Linked DNA regions of Schizosaccharomyces pombe. The gene in region 1 interacts genetically with each later gene. Each region holds a gene or a part of one and is shown on either strand. Other genes may lie near its edges. The genes, in order: lem2, dsh1 and ckb1.

Region 1 (3,756 bases):
TTGAGCGTAGAAGATAGGTTACAACATTCGCCAAAAAAGGTGACCACATAAATATCACTTATATTAGCAAACATCATGTATATCATGGACGAAAGTTTAAAAGGTTGGCAACCAAAGCCAAGTTCATGAGAGGAAAAGAAGATTATAACTATAATCCTCGACACAGGAAAATAAGATGTACTGTCATCGCAAAGCAATAGGCAACACGTCAGTAATAATTAGGAAAATTAAAAGAAAAAAACACAAGAGAAAAAAATGTACGAGACCGGTGAAACAAGTTTCAAACAAATCTCGATAAAAGCACAACGAGATTATTAATAGCATAATAAAAACTAGCCAGAATAAAATTAATGCAATATGCAGATCATAACACCCAACGCTCATAAAAAAGGTAACAAATGCCCATTCTAAGCATACAAATCGAAAAGTAAACGAGGCACATTTTCGATAAATAGTCATTGACGAACATTTCCATATTATAAATGAATTGCTCGCTCAATTAACTAACAAGGAATAAGATGAAGTTAAGGAAATCTAGTCAATAAAAATCAAGATTTCAAATCCAAGAAATCCATTAAAAACGTTGGCATTTCTTTTAACTATAAGCCGTTAGAAAAGGAATTCAGTAGCTTTTGTATGAAATCCTCTAAAAACCAAAAGCGAAGGAAACAAAATTAACCCATATAGAGAGCTAAATTCTATAATCCAAAAAAACAGAAAGACAGAGGTACATAGGGTGATAGTAAGAAAGTCATAATACTAGCAAAAATACTAGACTATGATAAATTCTCTTGGCCAATGTTCAAATAAATAGTGCTACAACGAACACGTGTAGATAAACGCGGAGACGAAAGAAGGTGAAACAAAAAAGTGGAATAGTTAGAACAGAACACGAGGCTTAAAAAGGTGATATGTCCTTAGACATAAATAAGCATCCAATGAAACTATGCACTTCCTTGACGCAGCATACGGAACAAGCGCTGTTCACGATCGCGATGAAACAATAAGTCTAGGGCAGAAGTAGAATGACAATGAATGCCGTTATTAGGGGAATTCAAAGTAGGGGTAATGTTACCAGTGGGATGGCCGGCAGCATTGAAGTGATTAAAAGAAGGAGTGGAAGCTGAATAGTTAGTATGAGGAGAATTGTGTCCACTGTAAAATCCATTCGTCTGTTGAATACTCTGCAATGAGGGATCGTTACGAGACATCGGACAAAAATTATGACCCATGGCAACTTCGGATGGGGTTGAAGGAACAGAGGAAGATTGATGAAACTGGAAAGGCATGTTTGAGTTCACACTACCAGTAGGAGGTTGCCATTCAGCCTTTTCGGAAACGGGAGAGTGTAAGAACGTAGGGATGGGAAGATTAGAAGCGGCCGGAGAATGAGTAAATGTAGGACCGGCGTAAAGAATGGAATTAGTATCGGAAGAGGAATTCGAAGAAAAAGATCGATCAGCACCGGAAGAATTGGAAACGTAAGAAGATACAGACTTCAAATGAGAATCAACTTCTCCGACGGCAACCTTATCAATTCCTAAGCCAGCAGGAGCCGAAGCAACACCAGAAGGAAGGTGGGAATTAGAATTGCCACCTGAGATACGAGAGCCAGCATACGAACTGTGACCAGATTTAGAGCGTCGATTCCCGCGTACTTTATCGCCATTTCGCTTACCATTGCTTTCACCAATGTTAGAAGTAGCAAAAGTACTCTTGGGTTTCACAAAGTTAGGTATCTGGAGATTACCATCTCGTTGGGGCATAATCGACATTCCATCTAAACTGAACTCGACATCGCTGGAAGCAACCATTGCTCCGCCCGGTTTAGAATTAATTTTCTTCTTATTACGTTGAAATCTACGTCCAATGTCTTTTTGCATTTTTTACTATAGTCAAAATTCGAGTAATCCCTAATGATCATGGATTCTGTATTCTTAGTGATTGATGTTGGTTAAGGATAACTTCGGGGGCAACACTCTTACCCAATATACGTTATTTGGGCTGAGGTGACACAAAGCAATGAGCTGCGCTATGCCTCCTTATAGAGCTTTCTTCCCTTAACCATTATTTGCCACCCACTTTAACTGGCAAAAAGAAAGAAGGAAAACAAAGATTCGGCACAAAGATAGAGAAATAAGAAATTGCTTTACCTTCGTTTAGTGAAGTCTTTTATTAAATTTGAAAAGGTGTGTTTGAACAGTGGAATTCAAGCAATTTCCTAAGTATATTATAGCTCATTGCTGTAATATTATAAATTTGTATGGGATTGCAATTACGTTCACGAATCAGCAACTTATGCCAGGTTTCCTTTTTAATGTAGATAAGGATTCATGTAATTAACTAGCTTATATCAGCTTTATACCATTTTTGATCAGTTTGAATTATTCACCATGGACAATTGGGAGGACCCTAACTTCGAATTGCGAAATCTTCGTGTCATAGACTTGAAAAAGATCCTTCATGAATCGGGAGTGTCATTCCCTGTGAATGCCAGAAAAATAGAGTATATTAGGATGGTGGATAGAATACGGAAAAACAAATTAAGCTCTGGTCCACAACATTTATTGTCTCATCTTCAAAAAGAGGAAAACTCTAACACCTCAAAAGCGTCTAGCTCCGAGGATGAAATAGCTCCTAAATACCTTTATCCCTCCTCTCCTTCCAAAAGCACGAAAAAGCCACACAACGAAACAGAACCGCTTCTGTCTCCACAATTCATTGACAAACCTAGCAACATTGAAACCCCGGTTAAAATAGAGTCTCCGCACGTCTCTCAAAATAATACCTTTCAGTCCTATTCTGAATTGAGCCCTAATGTGGAAACATCGCTGACTATGAAAACTCCGCCAGCCCACGCGTCTACACCAAAATTTCGCTCGCATAAATCTCATAGGGTAGCTGTTCCTATGTCATTTATGGATAGCTCTGCTTTACATACTTCGCCAGCATTTTCGGAGAGGTTAAAGCTGCTTTCATCTTCAAACAATTTTTCTCCACAATTGAGGTCTCCCAAAATATCACATCGTCTACAAACTTCAGCCACTTCTAGTCCTCTTCAACATAAACGACCCTTTACTAATGTTCCTGAGCGAGTCTCTCGAGATATCGAGTTTGCTCCTCTTGACAGTGCAAGGCCCTCTGAATCTTCATCGCCTTATTCTGAAGTAGACTCTGCTGAGGAAGATGACGAGCTTTTTCAAAATTACGTTTTGCAGCAGACTCGAAAAGAAAGCAAACTTTGGTCGTTTATTAAAAAAGTATTTCACGACATTAAGTACGCCAATTATCGTCTTCTTCACAATTTGCGCGCCTTTCCTGGAATCAGCGCGATATCTTCTTCTTATTTAGTGCATATTTTTATGATTTTATTAGGAGTGGTGGCAGCAATTTTTCTGGCTTTATTACGGGAGAAAATGTTTACAGCAGGATTCTGTGATTCGGGTGCCAGTGGAAGTTCTGCTTCAATTCTTGGAATAAGTTTTCCATCATTGTGTAGAACTTGCCCTCCGAATGCAATATGTCCCTCTCCAAATTACGTTGAATGCAAGCCCGGATATGTCCTCTACGAACCATGGTATTCAAGTTTAGGATTTTGGCCCTCCAAGTATTGCGTTAGTGATACTTCTAGAGAAGAAAGTGTTAATATTTTTCGTGAAGAATGTTTAAGTGTATTAAGATCCTGGAATGCAATTTTGCATTGTAGCAATAACTCGTCAGATTTGCTGGAACGAAATATGTCGTACAATGCGCACC
Region 2 (3,756 bases), on another chromosome or scaffold:
CGAACTTTTATGTCTCTGGTATTCATAAAATAGATTCTTCCATCATCACTTTATGGTCAGCTTATAATTTTCTTTTAATAGTCAGCCTTACGACATAGAAATATTTGATATGAACTCTTTGTAAAAAGTTGAGTTTTGGGTTGGATGTCCATACTCAATGTAAAGGTTCCATGAAAGCGTACTGCAAGAGTGTTAGAAAAGAAATGAGTAAAAACACGTACTTCAAGTTGTAATAGGTAACGTCCAAGGCTTTGTACATAGTACTTTCAAGATACCACCCGCTAGGTTTGCCTGAATTAGTATTCCATATTGCAGTCAATGTATCTTGAACACCTTTGCAATTCATCACTTCAAAATGTACGGCTGTGATAGGATCATCTGAAAAAGACTCAAAGAGTTTTTCGCCTGTGGGACTACGGAGCTCTTTTAAAACATGGCAAACTTTTACGGAAACTTCGTCAGAGAATAAATACCTCAAAAACGTTGACCGTGTTTGGGGCTCCAAAAAACTTTGTGCAATGTTCACGGAGTTATTTTTCACCTTATTAGTACCAACTTTGAGTCGTTCAAATAGAGGTATACCAACTTTAACTCGCATAAAAACTGTACCTGAGAATAAAAAAACATTAAATAAAGATGCTGAAACGAAATTTTTTAAAAGATTGAAACTCCTTTCACGAATCCTATAGTTATGTCAATAAATATACCAGCCTTTTTAAAAAAAAACACATACAAGTTAATTTTAACACTATCGACAGGAGTCGGTATCGATTCGGGTAGGCGATGCAGATAAATAGAATTTGGCTTGTATTTCTTCGCTAATGGGAAGTTTCGATCATAAAACAGTTCATAAGAGGTTGAGTAGTCGTCAAAATTCATTAGATGCAGTATTGGCTGAGTCCTTTCTAATCTAATTAAAGAGACCTGCTCGTAAAAAATGTGTTTGACTCGCTTCAAAGCAACCTTTAAGTTTTTTACACTGTCGCATCGAACATAAAAGGCCTGAAAGAATGAAATGTAAGCATCCTGTAAAAAGAAATTACTTAAAATACATACAGCTAACTTGGGCAGATAGTGGATATAACATTGGCAATCCACACGGACTTGATTGAATAAAGTAAGATTTTCTCCACCGAAAAATTCGTAAACGTCCAAATCATCTGAAGGTAATGTGAATAAACCCTAATAATCGTCAAGTTATTATAAATGAGCTCAATATGTAAATATTACCTCTGCACGAAATGACAAAGAAGGATCCACATTGAGTAAATATTTTTTTAAAATCAAAGCATCGCGTTTCTTCTTTCTTACTAAAGCAGCTTCTTGACTTGGAAAATCTTTTCGGGGATTTCTGTACCATTTGGAAGCTGCCTTTGTCTCGCCTTCACGAGTATGGGAGTTGTAAAGTGTTTGCAGTGCCTTGGTAGCCAAGTCAAACATTTGTGGGGTTTCATAATATATGAAAATAGCCTGTAGTAATATATGCTAATTAGAAATGCAATCAATGAATGGATAACCCCAAACAAACCTACACTTGAGTGCTCTTCATACTGAATTAATGAAGAGGTTCTTCTTTGAATTTTCGAAATCTCAGTTTTATACCTCAAAAAAAATTTGTTAAATTCATAAAGGGTTCTGAACGTAGGATATGAACATTCGCCTAGGTGAAAAGCAATATATTAGTCAAAGCTCCCAGTACATTCAATGAGCATTTCATACGTTTTTTTCTTATTGAAAATTTCTTATTTTCTGCCATTGCATGTTTTTTTCTCTGAAGTCGACTGCTCTTGAATTCCAATCTGTCAGCAAATCATAAGTGATCTTTTTCCAACTTCAAAATAATAAAATTTTTTAACATTGAATTGACTAATAATTCTCATTTTTAGATAATCATGATCATTCAGTTCAGTAAGATCATATTCTTTTACCTACAAGTGGTGATTTACCAAAATTGATTTTTGAGAGCAAATATCTAGAATATAGGATTCAAGCAAGATTTCGTAATTTGAGAAGTACCTGTTTATTATACAAAAAGTTGTTCCATAAGGAAGACATAAAGGACGACCTAAACTGCCCTTGTGCTAAACCTGCTCAAACTTGGAAATACCTGTAGTACTGCTCAGTACATATCTTAAGTTGAGGTGACAATTGGAGTAACGAGTATAGATTCACTAGTTGCAATAACGGTATAGGACTAGTATTTTTAAAGGAAAGACATCTACGTATCAAGTATATATATTGGATAGAGGCATACATCCTTAGTTGTCAAGCATGCCTGAATTTTGCTGCTGTGAAAGAAATATAGTGCTATGATCAGAGTAGGTGAACGGAAAAAAGGACCAAAAAAGAATGTTTCCGTAATATTTGGGAAAGTGTAGTGTAAAAAATAATTTCAATAAAATAAAAAATCTCTTTGTACTCAAGGTTCGGTTTGCAAACTTGTAGAAGTATTGGCATATAGTAAACTAATTAAACAGCTCTTGCAAATTCATCAGCGATACGGTCATTAACATCGATTTCTTGGCGTAAAACAGTTTTAATCAACCAGTCATAATTTTGTAGAAAGATAGTTTTGTTTTGGGAAGCATTATCAAGAAAATTAGTCCAAATATGAGAATCTTCATTGCAGGTAATCAAGACCACGTTTCCATCTTCTAAGTGACGTGCCAGCCTTTTATTGTAAACATTTAAAGTTGAGCAAACACCTCCGTTGGACTTAACAATGCTAATTACCGCTGGAACATTTTCAGGAGCTACAGTTTTTGAAGTCAAATAGACAACGTAATCCTCCAACAGAGAAGGACCTTGTGCCCGTGCTCTTTTCAAAGCGGATTCTAAAGTGCATCCGAGTTCAAGTTCTTTTTCGGGATCATTCAATAAATACGGTTCTTCGTCCACGATCTCATGAGTTTTCAAACAAGAATTAATCCAGTCCATTGTAACAACACATGGTCCGTAAGGTATAGAGCATAAAAATTTAGATGTTCTTAAAATTCTAGGAGCTATTAAATGTGTGCATTTACTTGGATTAGAAGTAATCGACATGTCAAGTTTCTTAAGATTATCGATACTAGGTTTTTTATCGTAACCAGTAAAGGTTATGTATACTCTTTTACTAGCTTTGGCATTAGTGTTTCGAGACTCTGAAGACTCGCGCGAAACCTCTCCACTAGAAACTGACCGGTGTGTTTGACGTCTTTTTTTTTCACGTTCAAAAGCAAGAACGTCTGGCATGATGACATTTTGTAACATTGATAAGGCAGTTGCCGCTGATTTCCGTTTACTTCGAAGAAGTTGTGAAGAATTGAGTGGATTCACTCTGTCAAGCTCATCTATCAGCTTTTTTTCGTCCGTATAAGTTTCTTTATGCGAAGGAACTACCACTTTAGGAGTTAATGACAATGGGGATTTTTCTTTAATGACATTATCAACAAGTTTCGTAGCCAAAACAGGTAACTCGTCATCCGAAGAAGCCTCCTTTAATGACTCTTTACTAGGAGTACCCACTAAAAGTGGAGAGGGAGGAGTATTAGTTTTTGAAGATTTAGCATCTATTTCTAAACGCCCTTCATCTTGCAATTCTCTATTTACTCCAGTAATCGTGGAACCTTCATCATTGCGGTCATCTTCAGCTGCTAAGCTTGAACCTTTATCAGCACTTTGATTAGAGAAACTTGAAGTAAGTATTATGTGCTTACCAAAATTATCTGATGTGCTTTTAAATTCCTTCTCTAGTTCTTCATTCGTTTTATTGCC
Region 3 (3,756 bases), 2.3 Mb from region 1:
AGACTTAATGAAAAAGTGTTTAGAAACAGAAGATGTTAAAAGTGCCGCAGAGTGTTTGATAATATGGCAGATCCATCAGGGTTCAGCCAGTTGTGCTTCTACCTTTCTAAGTATATACGAAATGGCTTTAAAAATAAAAAACTGGGACGTTTGTACGGAGTTATCTAGCTACCTGGTGAGTCTGGATCCCGAAAAACGTTTACTGAAGACAGCGCTGGAACTTCTCGATGAAGGGCCTGATTCCAAGGACATTCGTCTTTACGATCAATTTAACAATTTGATGAAAGAAGTGGATAAATATTAACCACAGTATATGTCATGATCAAAACTAAATTATTAAAGCAATTATCAAAGTAAAAAAAGAGGTTCAAAGCTGAATAAGCATAAAAGGTTTTAGCTTCAATGATGATTAGAAGTTTGAAAATTACGCTCTTAGATAAAAGGAGCTGATGCTTCGGGAAAAATCTAAAAACGTAAAAGTTCATTCTAGTAAAAACTGTCATAGCTATAATGTAAATAAAATTTTTTGCCTTGGTGATTATGGGACTTCGAAGAATCGGGTGAACTTCTATTGTTAATGAAGATTAAGCAAAATGCCTTTAAGTTATTGCCAGTTTATTTTTTGATTCAGCTTCGGCTCCCTGTAAACGCTTTTTTTGCTTTTCTTTGTATACATCTTGTTTTTTAAAGGTAGCAGAATAGCTATGTACTTTGAAACCAAAAATACGTGGAATGTAGCGTTCTTGAGATTTAGGGACCGCAAGTTCAGGGTATACCTGAAAAAGCATGTGAGGGAATGAGGTTCCAAAATATGCACCATCAATGGATGCATGTCTTTGTGATTTTGGTGTGTACACATCCTCACACCGAGGACAGTATAATTTAACGGATTTTGTATGGGCAATATCCGACAAGCCGACGGGCAACATTGGCTGTCCGTTGCATAAAACTCTAGGGCAATGCCCAAAGTCACATTTTTTGTATTTCTCAAGCTAGAAAGGATGTTAGTCAAAATCCAAAGCTAATTAAAACGAAATAGTACGGTATGACATAAATGTAATAAAATTGAAGAATTGAAAGATAAGTCAAGTTACACACTTAGTGTCCATTATACTTGTCTAATGCCTGTTTTGTTCACGAAGATTGTATCCAAACTTAAAAACAGGAAACTAGAAGTTTACAAACATAATTGCTTACCATTTTATATAAACCCTGAGCCGTTAAGATATAACGGGCGTGAATAAGGCCGTACAAATGACGAGCACTAGCTTCTACCTCATCTTGTACTTCCTCTGGTAAATCAGGATCCAATACATCTAAAATGAGGTCTAAAGACTGGGAGTAGTGTGGAACTTCATGACTCAATCCAGTCAAATTAAAGCGATCCTGGATGAAGTCTTCGTCGACTTCGCAAAAAAATTCGTTTCCTTTTAGTCCTAAAAACCAATCAACCCAATATTGAGAATCATCGGATTCACTGCAATTAATGATTAATAAACGGTCCAATATGGCCAAAATGTAAAATATTTTTTTATTTAACCCTAATTTGCACAAACCTTTCCGAAGAGTATAGCTGCATGCTTCGTTCCGATTTACGTTGAAAAGCTGCACCAAAAATCCTAATTGCTTAATGCAAAATTTGATTTCCGTTTCAGCCTTAGCAGCTTCTAATATATGGAAAATTTGAAGAGAAGTACGTTGTCGTATCGTAGTCTTTCTGGAGCTCCGGTGTTTTCCTTCATTCTACACTAAAGGAATGAAAAACTAATTAGCGTGTTACTAGAAATTCAATTTGCTGCACTTCGGTATGTTATCTAGCACTTAAACGTTTATGCACTGGGATGCACTATAGTAGCACAATAGTTCATTCTATTAAAACTGCTTTAGCAACAAAAATGAAATATTTAGCGTTCCATCTGCTACAAAGCAACTTCTATTTTGTTATTGCTGTGTTATTTACATTATACTTGATGTTGTACCTTTTAAGGAATAATACAGGTGTGACAGTGACACTTTGTAGAATGATATAGCTATCATTGTAGTTAAGTCTCTAATATTGTACTGCTTAATAAGAAGTCGCAATAGATAAAACGTTGGTTCAATTGGAAATTTGAACAAACAAACTGTTCTCGCTTCGAATCCACAGTGAATTATATAAATTACTATGGCTTGCGTTTCTCGAGATTCGTACTTAGGGAATCTTGCAATATACATAACCAGCTACTACCTAGTAACTGCCAAATAAATCGTAAAGCTAAATTAATCAGTTATTCATAGAGGTATTTATAAAAAGTACGGCTTGTTCTAAACAAAAAAAGAAAAGCGTCAATGATATTATCAAACCTATTTGATTTAAAACGAAACAAACCACCTTAGGATAGGTAAATGCTTCTCTCAGTTGAACTAACAAGTAATTATATAAGAACACCAATTGTGTGTCTTCTTCCTATTTACTGTTTTTTTACCTTTCCATAGTCATCGATTTCAACCAATGCATTGTTCATAGCGGTTTCAGTCTCGTGTAGAAGATCATTCACATCTTCAGCAGTTTTCCCCTCCGTAGGAATTGGATCAAGCACTTTAATCAGAGCTTCACCTTTATTGAATACTTTGGTAGGAGGATGAAACAAATGACCATAAGTCTGAATTGCAATAGGAATAATGGGTACTTGAGCCTGTACAGCAAGGTGAAATGCGCCCTTTTTCAAGGGAAGAAGACAGGGCTTAAGGCTATAGGAACGAGTGCCTTCTGCAAATACCCAAATAGAAATATTTTCTTTGCGCATTCTTCGTGCCGCTTTCGCAAAAAGTTGAATCGCATCACTTCGGCGAGACCTATCGATAAATACAACGTCAGACAATATCATAAACCATCCCAAAATGGGCACATATCTTAGAGACTTTTTAGCAATAACAGAATAATTAGGGCCAAAAGTCCTTCCTATAGCCAAAATATCCAATTCACTAATTAAAATTGTAAGTCAGTTATTTTTTATCATAAAGAAGTATATTTTGAGGTATGCTTACGATTGATGATTAACTACTAAGACAGCAGACTTATGTTTTCTCAAAATTTCCTCGTTTTCGATTTTAAACCGAAAGTCAAGGATTGTACTAGCCAGTCCATAATATGCCTTTGCAGTTAAATATTGTCCCATTACGGGATAACCACATAAACGTGCAACAACTGAGGCTATAACCCCATAAGCAGAACTAATAGCTAAAAATGTGTGACATGCGAAATAGCGAAAGTGATATCTAATACATTTCGGGAGAGTAAAAAATCGGTTGATTCCGCACAAACCAACAAATACTGTCACAGTAGCAAGCAGCGTGCTCTTAATAAAACCCATTTCGAATATGTACACAGTAGAGAAGAGCAAACTTTCAACAACCCTTCCTTTCGTTTTAAAGTATGGTTGGTGCGGTGATAGTAACGTTGGTGATTCGTAATAAAAATGAATGGCCTGAGGACATTTCATTAATTGCACACTTTAAACTTAAGTTATACCCACGGTGATTTTATACACAATTTTTTTTATCATTGGTTATTAATGATATCTATTATACCTTTATTTTAATATATAACTTCTAAACGAAAATCATCATTTTTAAACCTAACCAGAATGAAGACGTAAACATTCTAACTCATTAACTTATTCATTCGACAATTTTTTGGCATCCCTAAAATACAAGACATAATTTCTTAAGTTTCCAGATTCCTATAAATTTCACCTGTTTCAGTTAACAAATTTT

What was found.
Region 2: of lem2 (region 1) and dsh1, changing one enhances a phenotype caused by changing the other (phenotypic enhancement), as found in Schizosaccharomyces pombe (one study listed by BioGRID).
Region 3: of lem2 (region 1) and ckb1, changing one enhances a phenotype caused by changing the other (phenotypic enhancement), as found in Schizosaccharomyces pombe (one study listed by BioGRID).

What each region holds. Positions count from the first base shown.
Region 1 is NC_003424.3:2,232,205-2,235,960, forward strand, and holds the start of lem2 (LEM domain nuclear inner membrane protein Heh1/Lem2), read left to right. Parts: upstream 1-2,073; 5' UTR 2,074-2,393; coding exon 2,394-3,756. Other genes in the region: protein Edc1, read right to left, coding at 945-1,883. UniProt on the Schizosaccharomyces pombe protein: Nucleus inner membrane protein involved in meiosis. Plays a role in regulating nuclear envelope (NE) morphology and nuclear integrity, particularly during spindle pole body (SPB) extrusion or insertion through the NE, and perhaps during karyokinesis.
Region 2 is NC_003423.3:423,691-427,446, forward strand, and holds the start of dsh1 (protein dsh1), read right to left. Parts: upstream 1,757-3,756; coding exon 1,720-1,756; exon of another isoform or gene 1,661-1,719; coding exon 1,533-1,660; exon of another isoform or gene 1,471-1,532; coding exon 1,231-1,470; exon of another isoform or gene 1,183-1,230; coding exon 1,057-1,182; exon of another isoform or gene 1,003-1,056; coding exon 734-1,002; intron 706-733; exon of another isoform or gene 684-705; coding exon 222-683; intron 182-221; coding exon 92-181; intron 49-91; coding exon 1-48. Other genes in the region: BRCT domain protein Brc1, read right to left, coding at 2,470-3,756.
Region 3 is NC_003424.3:4,500,231-4,503,986, reverse strand, and holds the start of ckb1 (CK2 family regulatory subunit Ckb1), read right to left. Parts: upstream 1,706-3,756; 5' UTR 1,580-1,705; coding exon 1,557-1,579; exon of another isoform or gene 1,478-1,556; coding exon 1,198-1,477; exon of another isoform or gene 993-1,197; coding exon 600-992; 3' UTR 305-599; coding exon of another isoform or gene 1-304. Other genes in the region: ric1 (Rab-specific(Ryh1/Ypt6) Ric1-Rgp1 guanyl-nucleotide exchange factor subunit Ric1/Sat4), read left to right, coding at 1-304; 1-acylglycerol-3-phosphate O-acyltransferase Slc1, read right to left, coding at 2,451-2,964, 3,028-3,353; nuc2 (anaphase-promoting complex TPR lobe subcomplex subunit Apc3), read right to left, coding at 3,707-3,756.